Ovis aries: one gene and its partners. The protein of the gene in region 3 purifies or fractionates together with the protein of the main gene of each other region. This does not show direct contact. Links are inferred from orthologs where the notes say so. Each region holds a gene or a part of one and is shown on either strand. Other genes may lie near its edges. The genes, in order: CCNY, CCNYL1 and CDK16.

Region 1 (3,648 bases), on a different chromosome or scaffold from region 3:
TTGCTGCATTTGAAAACTCAAGAAATGAAAGTCTTTGATTTTTACTTTACTAAATGAGGGTTCATAACCTTTATTTTATGGACTATTCAAAAGTGATTAAGTATTGTCTCCCAAAAATGAGAATTCCTGAATAATCAGTAGCATCTCTTAACAGTACTGCCTCTGTTTCTTGAAATAACAGTTGAATCAGAATATATTTTGTTTTCATTTTGACTGGCACTCTGTTACAGAAGGGAAACTCCGTTTTCTGTTACTTTCCTCCCCAGGGACCCAGATGGAAGGATGCTCTTGGATATTTTCGATGAAAACCTTCACCCTCTTTCGGTAACCTCCCCTTGGGTCCCAGGGTGTGGTCCAGTCATGTCTCTGTGGCTCCTGTGGGCCAGCTAGTCATTGACAATGTCTCCCTCCCCAGAAATCCGAAGTGCCACCAGATTATGACAAACACAACCCAGAGCAGAAGCAGATTTACCGGTTTGTTCGGACACTGTTCAGTGCTGCTCAGCTGACTGCAGAATGTGCCATCGTCACCCTGGTGAGTGCCCGCAGGATGACCTGGCCATGGAGTGGGGTGCAGGTGGGAATGTCCACTGTAGACCTAGGAACCCCGGCCACCTCAGGGTTGTCGTTTATCCAGAATAGCAACTGGATCTCCCAAAAGAGGGCATGTGGTCTGTTCCGCAGTCCCACCTAAAGCCCCCTGTCAGATCACACTCAGAAGCAGGAAAGCTGAAACGACCCATGCAGGGTCCACAGTGCTGAGAAGGACCAGGACCACCTCATTGATGTCCAGGTTTGTGGTGTTGGTTCCCTACGTTGCAAGGACTGCTGTAATTGCTGCCTTCTCCTCTGTGATTTTTGTGTAAATACATGTCTGTAAGATGAGACATTCATCTTACATTCAGAGACAGTCACGAGACATTCAGAGACAGTGTGGACATAATCTGCACATTGACTCAAGTTAAAAACCTGTAACCTTCCTTAGATTCTTAAAACCTTAGGGACGGTTGATTTAGCTCCGATCTCATTGGGGAAGCAGCTTTAACAGCAGAGCCCGCTGTCACTGACCTTTCCCATTGTGCACCACTCAGATAAGAAATGGGCTCTGCCAGTGCGTGGGCTGCCCCGCGGGCCCATGCAGTTCCCTGAGAAGAGACCCTGTGGTAAGACGACGAGTGTAAAGACCATCCGCCTCTCCGCCACACTGAGAGCCCCATGTTCTCAGCCGTCGGCACAGGACTGGTTTGTTTGTGCATTCCTTCTCTCCTGGAACTTGCCCCCTGACAGGTGAACAGACATCCAGCAAATCCTCCTCAGGTGATGTGGCATGCTGATAGACCCTGAGGTCATGACTGAGAAGCATATTTATGGCTCAGCTTCGATCCTCCAAAGGATGTCAAGTCCTCAAAAAACCCCCTGCAGGCGGCAGGGTTGACATTTTAATGAAGGGAGATTGTGACAAAGAGGGAAGAAGGGGAAGAAAATCAGATAATGAGTACTTAAATTGACGCCCTGAAGAAAGATTTATTTTGAAGCTCTTGCTTCAAGATGCTATGTGGTAGGTTTTTTTTGCCTTCCATTCTGAAGAAAATGGTGACCTGACTTTGCCCTGTAGCACCTTCGAGTTTGGATTTATCAGTGTGAAGAAGCTTTGTGTCCTGTGAAAGACGTAGTTTCTGCAGAGACTTCTGTTGAGAACATGTAGAGTTTGTTCCCCTGTCTCTGAGCAGACGTGGGTGGTTAGTTTGTCTTGGGAGTGCTGTGGGAGTGGTGTGTGTCTGTCAGTCGTGGGAGCTGCTGAAATCCTCCCTTGTCCTGGGACATCAGCTGGTGGCTTAGCAGGAGATGGCTACAGCTGACAGGTGGGCAGCGTCGGGGGCCCTCACAACAAGCACAGCTCTGCAGACTGAGTCTCCAGGGTCTGCCTGGATGCCGCAGGCAGCCAACTCTGTGTTCCGATCGAGCCCTGCGTGTGATGGTTCCCACCTGTCTCTCCAGGTTTGCAGCAACCCTTCACAGCAGGTCTGGGCTAGGGCTGGTGGGCCGTATCCCTCTCTGCCTTTCTCCTGGGCCTTCCCTTGGTGGCCTGGCCTGTTGCCCGGAGGAGGCAGGGAAGACCACAGTTAGCTCTGCCCGGCTGCCCGCAGGGGACCAGACCACTGCCTGCCTGTGGGAGACCCTTCCAGAGCCTTCAGCCACTTGCTGCTGCGTGTGTCCGGGAGCACCAGGCATGCCAGCCCAGCCGGGTTCCCCCGGGCAGCCCTGAGGGCTGTCACTTGGCCCCAAAGTGCCTCTCAGAGGCCGGCACTCTGGTGAAGAGGCCACCTGTGGAATCTATCTATTCTGACCCCAGAGAACCCCCTTTATAGGGCACATTAGTGGTTTCTACCAAGGTCAAAAGTGTTGTTCAGATAGAGTCCAGTGAGGAATCCAGCTACCTCAAATATTAGCAAATAGGAAGCACTGGGGAGGCCCAGTCAGCTGAGTTGTGGTAAGAGTCTACAGTGAACGGACCTGGAGCTGCTCTCTGTGATGGACAGGGAAACCCAGCATCCTCGTAAGTGTGGTCCTGTGTACCCTGGAGTCCATGAGTTTGCACTTTCTTTCTCCCCTCCTCCCCCACGCCATGCCTTCGAACAGCTTTATTTTGTACAGTCACCTGAACACTCTGTAAGCACTCACTAACCTGTATTTTCTAGAGACTCTCAGGATGGTCCTTCTTAGGAAATTAAATCTGAAATTTTAATTGAGCAGCAGTGTCCTATTAGCAATGGTGTAGGGAATGGTGTTCAGAAAAAAATCAATCGTATATTATTTTACTTGGCAGAAAATTAAAATACCCAAGTGGGAGTTTACTAAAGAAATTACAGCTGACCCTTGAATATAGCTTTCTTGGCAAGTTCTGCCAAATTACATGCTATTATGTGGTGCTTATTATGAATTCCTCCTCCCCAAACATAACATCTGCTTCCCCTCGGTAATGGAGTGTGTTATCATATCTAATTCATCTAATTCTCTAGTTCATCTTAGTGGAATATCAGATGTGGTAGATGCCTGGTTTTTTCCAAACATTATCTTAAATGTTAAGATACCTGTTAACTGGAGAAGGAAATGGCAACCTGCTCCAGTGTTCTTGCCTGGAGAATCCCAGGGACGGCGGAGCCTGGTGGGCTGCTGTCCATGGGGTCACACAGAGTCGGACATGACTGAAGTGACTTAGCAGCAGCAGCAGCAGTGTACCTATTAATATCTATCTACTGTGGTTAAGTAAGAACAAAATTGAATAACCTTCTTTTTGTACTGAGTCAGTGAGAAGCTATTTCATTGGGGAGCTTGGAGAGGTTTACATAGCTCATTTATAAAAAGGAATAGCGTCTAAGGGGGAGAAGGCAATGGCACCCCACTCCAGTACTCTTGCCTGGAAAATCCCATGGACGGAGGAGCCTGCTAGGCTGCAGTCCATGGGGTTGCGAAGAGTCGGACATGACTGAGCGATTTCACTTTCACTTTTTACTTTCATGCATTGGAGAAGGAAATGGCAACCCACTCCAGTGTTCTTGCCTGGAAAATCCCAGGGATGGCAGAGCCTGGTGGGCTGCCATCTATGGGGTCGCACAGAGTCGGACATGACTGAAGCGACGCAGCAGC
Region 2 (3,748 bases), on a different chromosome or scaffold from region 3:
CAGCTTCAATTCGAGGTCAGCAGAACAAACTCCTTAAAATATACCAACATGTTTACCTGACTGGTTAATTTAGGCTATTTCATGACTTCTTTTATTCCTATCCATTGTAGTAAATGTATATAGAATGGAGAGGTAAATGTTGCTTCTGAGTTGTGAACAATAAACTCAAATGGAAATAATCAAAACTGAAGTTGAGATAGGCCTAACTTACAGACAAATTATAAAATAAAAAGTGCGCTCCAGTTCTCTTTGAGCACCCAACAACTGAATTTGCTGGATCTACCACTCTGAAGGCGGTCTCTTCTGTTCAGTAGCTATGTTACACAGTTATTTCAGATCTCTAAGTCTTGGCTTCTTCATTGGCAACACACGGAGAATATTCACAGGTCTTATTTATAGATGGAAGGGTCAAGTGAAATACACCCGAAAATACGCTGTAAATCTTAAAAGAATTATGCAAAAGTCCAACTACACTAGCCTACTACTGTTTTTTAAAATCACTTAGAGGCTTACCTTATAGCAACAAACTGAGCAATTTTCACAAGTATGCACAAGTTTTGTTTTTAAAGCTACAATTAATTTATATAATTTATTCTTTCACAGTATCTGACAGTATCTGAAAAGGGAGTACTTTCCACTTACAAAGCCATATTCATCATATGGGTGAGTTCACAGGCTTACCTATTTTAACTTTGAAAGAAATTAAGTAAACCCAAATAAAATTTAAACAGAAAAGCTATAAGACATTTTCTCTAAAGAAATACTCTCTGGCATTTAAATGAAACAATTGGGCCAATGGGGCTTTAACATCTTCACGACACAATGTTTTCTACCTTAAAGAACACAGTCTTTATTAATGAACCACAGTGTTATTCAGAATCTTTTTTTTTTTAAAGCTAGAGCCGTCCAGTTTCAAAATTCTAGAGGAAAAAAATCAAACATTTTCTCTCCTCTGCTCCATGACAACCCACGCCCACCCCCAGTCATTTCGTCTTCAGAATTTTACCTGAACATTCTGAAAGTTGAATAGGATTCCACTGGCAGGAGGGGGTTGGAAGGAGAGGTAGCCATGGAGACAACTTTTCTGCAGGATCTGCCATCTTAACTGCCAAATCTTTGTATTACAAATAAAAGTCTGAATTTCTTTTTTCTCCTTTGAAACTTTTGACCAACAGTTTCAGGAACCACCCCCACCCCTCCCTTAGAAGAGGCAACATGCAAGTGGTTAAAGCTGGGGAACTGAAGACATTTTTGTGTCAAAGTGGGACTGTTAATCAGAGCTCCGTGAGGTAGTCTTTCGGTAAAAACAAACAACAAAACTAGTCCCTGCAGCCGTTGCAGTAACGTTTCACTCCGTTTACAGTTTTTTTAAGCCCCACTCTCACCTTTTTCTTTCCTAGCGTGTTCAGATTACAGTTAGAATAAGGTCGCTTCAATCAGGACAACTCTAGACAGAATTTTACTTAACGCCACACTAACTGTCGATCTGTTTTGATTTTAAATAACAAATCCTAAAATCTGTCTTAATTGTCCCGAATATCAACTATCCTAACGAGTGGAAGTGTATCTAGATCCTTACCTCGTTCCTTCACTTAGGTACCATCTGGATAGGTAAGGATAGGGAGATGGGATGGATATCGCCGAAGTTGGAAGTATTTAAGTTTTCATTGAGAAAAGAAGAGAATACATCAGAAAGTCTTTACAAAGTCCCACGAAATGTTAAATAGAATCACGAACAGGAGGGGCCTCAGACTTGAGGGTCTCGGGTTGGGCTGCGAAATGGGAATGGGGGAAGAATTGGGCGTTCGGGTAGAGAAGAGGGAGAGAGACTGGCCGGACGCGACGGGGAAAGAATAAGGGGTGGGGACACCAGGCAGGGCCAGCCTCCGTCCCCGGTGCCCAGCCCCGAGAGAGCCAACTCCAGGCAGGAAGGAGCCCTAGGCGGCGGCTCCCTCCAGGGGGACCCGGGGGTCGGCGGAGGCCAGAGGTAAGCCCGAGAGCAGACGGCGCCGGCCCCGCGAGGGGCTAGGCGCGCCGGCCGCTTTCTTACCTTCGGGCATCTCCCGGTCGCTGATGTGCTGCAGGTGGTGGCCTTCACCCGCTCCGAAATCCAACTCGGTGGGTTCCACGGCAGCCGGCGCCGGTGCTACTGCCACCGCGTCTCCGGCCGCCGCCTCGTAGACCTCAGACTCGTAGTCTGGCTCCGCCGGCCCCGCGCGCCGGCCCAACTTGGGGCTGGCATTGGGGGACACGCAACAGGTCAGCGTGTTCCCCATGGGGCGCCTCCGCTCCTCGCTGCCGTCGCCTCTGCTCGGCCCCCGACTCCGCCGAGCTCAGAAGCCGCCCCCTCCCCCAACAATGGCGCGGCGGGCACGGGCAGCCCCGGGCTATGCCGGGGCTGCGCCGCGCATGTAGACGCGGCCTCGCCTGCCTCTCGCCTGTCCGCCCCGCCGCCGGGCCCGGGGCAGGGCTCCGGCCCCGGCCGCACCCCCGCTGTCTCGCCGCCGCCGCCTCCCCGGAGTCAACTAGTCTGTGAAGGCGGCGACCAGCCCGGCTTATTTAAAAGGGGTGGGGACCCGACAAGCGCTGAGACGCGCAGCCACTGCCGGGAGAGAGCGCGGTCGGAGCTCCTCCTCCTTCCGCCGCCGCCTCCCGACTGAAAGGCGCTCGCCTGGCTGGCCCTTGCCAACCGGAACGCGTCCTTCGGTCACCTGGTTACGAGGGACCAATCACACACAAAGTTTCCTCCCAGCGCCCGCCTCAGAGAGCAGGCACGTGACTCACAATGCCCCGCCCCCACCCTGCGGCTGCTCCGCCCCTCGAGTGGCGCGCCCTGGACTCCTGTTTCCATTCATCGTGCGGCAGTCGGAGCTTTCCGGTCCTTCGGGAAGCGGTGAGGGAGTTTGTGAATCGAAGCTGTTCTGAGTCAGTGGGCTCTATAGAAGGCTTGTTAGTAAAGAGTCAGTTCCGTTAGCAACTCGGTTTCATCGGGTCTGACAGCTGACTGATTTGATGCATTGCTCAACGAACTTAGTTACACCCGAATCGTTGAGTTTTTTGTAACTAAATGCTCCTCTCGAACTGACTTCGAAAGAGTGTTAGTTTCCGCCTTCAGTTTAACCATAGCAACCCCTCTGTGTCCGTGTCTTGAATGAGACTTGAGGACACGTCACCCCTCCACTTCCTCATCGGTAAATTAGGGACCGAACTCCTCCCTCCCAACTCTGAAACGCTGGGATTCAGCAACTCGATTTTCTCGCTGTTTCTCTCTTCCACGGCACGACTCTCCAGGTTTCCTTACTTTCACCCTACTTTATGTGTAACATAAAGCACAAAGCACGATTTTTCTCGTACGAAACTGAGAGTCACAAAGTGAAGTACCACGGTTTTTATTTAATAAAGATGATGGTAAAGATATACTCCCAAGGTCACATGATTGCTCAGGGGTATGGCCAGGATTTGGTCTCCGATTGTGTGGATCCCCAAAGGCACCTTATTGTGATTATCAGAAAATAAAAGTAGAAGTCAAATTTGATTGGAAGTGGCAAGGGAATGTCTCTAAGGGAGAACAATTTTTTGAGGTGGCTTTAAAAATACTTTCCCTTCTTTCAACATTGGTTAGTCCCTCCTACTTTCTAGGCACTGTGTTCCTGCAATAGCCCTGCCCTCGATGAGCTCAGTCAGGCGCAAGAGAAAATAAAGGCTTAGAAAGTCCAGTTGTCTGAGGTCAGTCACACTGCTGCCAAGT
Region 3 (3,648 bases):
TACTTGACATGGAATGAGTCTGAATTGTATAGAAATTGAGTGTACAAACTCATTTTTACATGAAGCTGCAGGTCTGTATACTGAGGGTTGGAACAAGGGCCCTTTCCAAAGCCAAAAACTGGTTGTAAAGATCTAGTGTCACGTAAGCTTAAGGCTGCGATCCCAGGTTCTGGCTCTGCATGTCTGGAACTTGGGAACACACCTTCTTCCTGATAGCAGGTGGGTTGGAGCTGGGTTGGAGTGGACTGTGAGCCACCATCCCAAACCACACAGGGAAAGGAGGAAACCCTGGGCTTGACCCTGTCTAGTCCTCCTCCTCGCCTCTGTCCTGAGTATGGGCCTTGATTCGTCCCCCGTCCCAACTCCCTGCTTCCTGCAGTGTCCCTGCTCAAGGACCTCAAACATGCCAACATCGTCACGCTACATGACATTATTCACACGGAGAAGTCCCTCACCCTTGTCTTTGAGTACCTGGTAAGGTTGGGTGGCCATGGGTCCTGGGGGAGGTGGGGAGATGGCCAGGAGCCATAGGACGTGACCCTCTTTCCTCTACCTGCTCTTCTCTCCTCAGGACAAGGACCTGAAGCAGTACCTGGATGACTGTGGGAACATCATCAACATGCACAACGTGAAAGTGGGTGTGGGGCAGGAAGCAGGGGCACAAGGGGGCCCCCACTCACCCACTCCACCCCACAAATCTCCCAGAAACAGACGTTTCCCGTTTGGCTTTTTTGCTGGGAGCCCTTGAAGGGCGTTGGGACCCTATCCTCTATTTGTGAGACAAGGCTCTGGGCTCAGTGCTTGTGTTTGGGAGGGGGAGCAGTGCCTGCTTGGGGTCAGGCTGCTGGCTACTCTTTGACCTCTGCCTGCCGTTCCTGGGTCCCCAGCTGTTCCTGTTCCAGCTGCTCCGTGGCCTGGCCTACTGCCACCGGCAGAAGGTGCTACACCGAGACCTCAAGCCACAGAACCTACTCATCAATGAGCGAGGAGAGCTCAAGCTGGCTGACTTCGGTACCCGTGGCCTCCCCCTTCATCCCAGTGATCCCCCAACCTTACTCTCCCAGCCCCTCCTTCCCCCTGACCACCTGTCTCAGTCCCTCCCCTTCAGCCTCTCTAAGCTTCACTTGGGAAACCCTCAGTCCCAACTACATTCTCCCCCAGACGGCCCATGACCTCCTCAATTCCAGCTGCTCATTATCTCCACCTATCAGGCCTGGCCCGGGCCAAGTCAATTCCAACGAAGACCTACTCCAACGAGGTGGTAACACTGTGGTACCGGCCCCCTGACATCCTGCTCGGGTCCACGGACTACTCCACTCAGATTGACATGTGGTAAGGACAGGCTGAAGTGTGGCAGGGGCCACGCAGTAAAGGGGAGTGGCTTGGTCACAACAGCCAACCAGCCAACTACCTGCCTATTCACTGTGCTCTCCCTGCCCAGGGGTGTGGGCTGCATCTTCTATGAGATGGCCACAGGCCGGCCCCTCTTCCCAGGCTCCACAGTGGAGGAGCAGCTGCACTTCATCTTCCGCATCTTGGGTAAGGAGGCATGAACCCTAGGAACTGTGGGGACATGCAGGGAGGCCCTGTGAGATGCTTAGGATAACTCCGTTTCCCCACCAGGAACCCCAAATGAAGATACATGGCCAGGCATCCTGTCCAATGAAGAGTTCAGGACATACAACTACCCCAAGTACCGAGCCGAGGCCCTTTTGAGCCATGCACCCCGGTGAGGCTGGTGGGTGGGTGGCTGTTAGGGGCCAGAGTACCCAAACTCAGTTTAAAACAGGTCCCCTTGTCCTTGAGGTAGAGTTGACAGCGACGGGGCTGACCTCCTCACCAAGCTGCTGCAGGTGAGACCACCTTCCTGGGCCACCCTAGGGGGCTAGCGGATTCCAGGTGTGGGGAAACAGAGCTACAGGGGCAGGGTCTGGGGCAGGGAAGAAGAGAAGCCTACTTGTTGAAAGTGTCAATACTCCCCCACCCCAACACACACTCAGTTTGAAGGTCGCAATCGGATCTCCGCAGAGGATGCCATGAAACATCCATTCTTCCTCAGTCTGGGGGATCGGATCCACAAACTTCCTGACAGTGAGTGGGGCTGGGGAGTGGACTAGCTGGTGGGGGGCTTTAGGGAACAGGATTTCTGCAGATAGCTGGGCAGTTGTGTTGAGTTCTAGCTGTGCCACCTCTGATGGGGTGAGGCATATGCCCTTGTTCACATATGTGATATGTTGTTTTTTACAAAAAAGTTTTTTAGCTTTCAGTTTCTTTTACATTTCATGGAAATTTTCAAACATAAAACCTGACAGAACATCCATCACTTTACCTTAAAATGCCATATATTTATATATTAAACCAAGTAATATGGTCTATTATATATTGAACCAAATAATAAGTCCCCAGTACTCTAACAAGTGATCAACTCATGGCCGCAGTGGTTTTATCTATATTCACTCTGATTATTTTAAATCAAGTCTCAGATCCATTATTCATCTATACAATTTTAGCATGTACCTCTAAAATATTTTCTTAAACACAACAATAATACAATGGTCACACTAAAAAAAACACACATCGGATTAATCTCAGTAACAACCCAGACATCATCCATCATCTAGACTTAACAGGTGGTAATTGCAATACCACTGTCACACTTGACAAAATTACTAATTTCTCAGTGTCATGTAATAGTCTACATTCCATTTTCCCTAGTAGCTGGTTTGTGTGTGGGATTATTTGGCCGATGAAAGTCAAGACTCAAAGAAAATTAGAAAATTTTCTAATTGCCCGGATGGGGTCACACGGGAGGTGGTCCTGGATTGCCTCATGGGTCATGCCCCACTTCTGTCTCTCCTCCACCCACAGCTACTTCCATATTTGCACTAAAGGAGATCCAGCTACAAAAGGAGGCCAGCATTCGATCTTCGTCAATGCCTGACTCAGGTAAGTGTAGGTGTGACCCTTGCCCTCTTCCCTGCCCCCTGGCTCCCGTCCACTTACCTGCTTGCTCACCAACAGCCATCCGCTCTGCTTTCCCCTGCAGGCAGGCCAGCTTATCGAGTGGTGGACACCGAATTCTAAGCCACAGACCGAGGCCCCAGCAGGCAGCAGCTGGAGGGATGCCACACCCCTCTCACAGGGCAGCCCCCAACTGCATCCTCCCTGCTTGCTGCCTGCCTACCTGCCTGACTCATGCTCCCATGCCCACACGTCCCCTGCTGCCTGTCTGAACATCCGACCATTGGCCTGTTGGCCCACCCATTGGCCTGTCTGCTGGGTGCTAACAAAGCTCTCATCGCTCCTTCACCTGGTCTGTCTGTCTGTCTGTCTGTGTCTCTTTCTCTCTCTGTCTTGGTAGTTGCTGGTGGACAGCGTGGCCGTGCCAGCCTCCCACACTGAAGCCAGGCCTAGACCTCTCCCCATCATACCCTCCCCCAGGACCACTACCCCATGGCCATCCAGGGGTCTGGAGCTAGCCCAGGCTGGGGATCTCGACTCAGACAAGACATGGTGATGCCTTGGGTCTGAGGCTCCCCTTCCTGCTTTCCTGCCTCATGTTGTGTGGGCCTTGTTTGTTTGTTTCATTCATTGTTGTTTTTTTAATTATTTTAAATGAGGTTTTCATTTTTTAAATGCAATATCTCT

What was found.
Region 1: the proteins of CDK16 (region 3) and CCNY purify together in Homo sapiens (affinity purification with mass spectrometry; 3 studies listed by BioGRID and IntAct, counting the BioPlex papers as one, with this or other methods). This does not show direct contact. The link is inferred for Ovis aries from reciprocal best matches to the Homo sapiens genes CDK16 and CCNY.
Region 2: the proteins of CDK16 (region 3) and CCNYL1 purify together in Homo sapiens (affinity purification with mass spectrometry; 4 studies listed by BioGRID and IntAct, counting the BioPlex papers as one, with this or other methods). This does not show direct contact. The link is inferred for Ovis aries from reciprocal best matches to the Homo sapiens genes CDK16 and CCNYL1.

What each region holds. Positions count from the first base shown.
Region 1 is NC_056066.1:17,432,860-17,436,507, reverse strand, and holds part of CCNY (cyclin-Y), read left to right. Parts: intron 1-266; coding exon 267-324; intron 325-415; coding exon 416-535; intron 536-3,648. UniProt on the Homo sapiens protein: Positive regulatory subunit of the cyclin-dependent kinases CDK14/PFTK1 and CDK16.
Region 2 is NC_056055.1:209,790,588-209,794,335, reverse strand, and holds the start of CCNYL1 (cyclin-Y-like protein 1), read right to left. Parts: upstream 2,659-3,748; 5' UTR 2,277-2,658; coding exon 2,051-2,276; intron 1-2,050. UniProt on the Homo sapiens protein: Key regulator of Wnt signaling implicated in various biological processes including male fertility, embryonic neurogenesis and cortex development. Activates the cyclin-dependent kinase CDK16, and promotes sperm maturation.
Region 3 is NC_056080.1:57,590,341-57,593,988, reverse strand, and holds part of CDK16 (cyclin-dependent kinase 16), read left to right. Parts: intron 1-379; coding exon 380-474; intron 475-571; coding exon 572-634; intron 635-887; coding exon 888-1,011; intron 1,012-1,211; coding exon 1,212-1,332; intron 1,333-1,441; coding exon 1,442-1,539; intron 1,540-1,623; coding exon 1,624-1,729; intron 1,730-1,810; coding exon 1,811-1,853; intron 1,854-2,000; coding exon 2,001-2,091; intron 2,092-2,868; coding exon 2,869-2,946; intron 2,947-3,046; coding exon of another isoform or gene 3,047-3,084; exon of another isoform or gene 3,085-3,361; coding exon 3,362-3,402; 3' UTR 3,403-3,648. UniProt on the Homo sapiens protein: Protein kinase that plays a role in vesicle-mediated transport processes and exocytosis. Regulates GH1 release by brain neurons. Phosphorylates NSF, and thereby regulates NSF oligomerization. Required for normal spermatogenesis.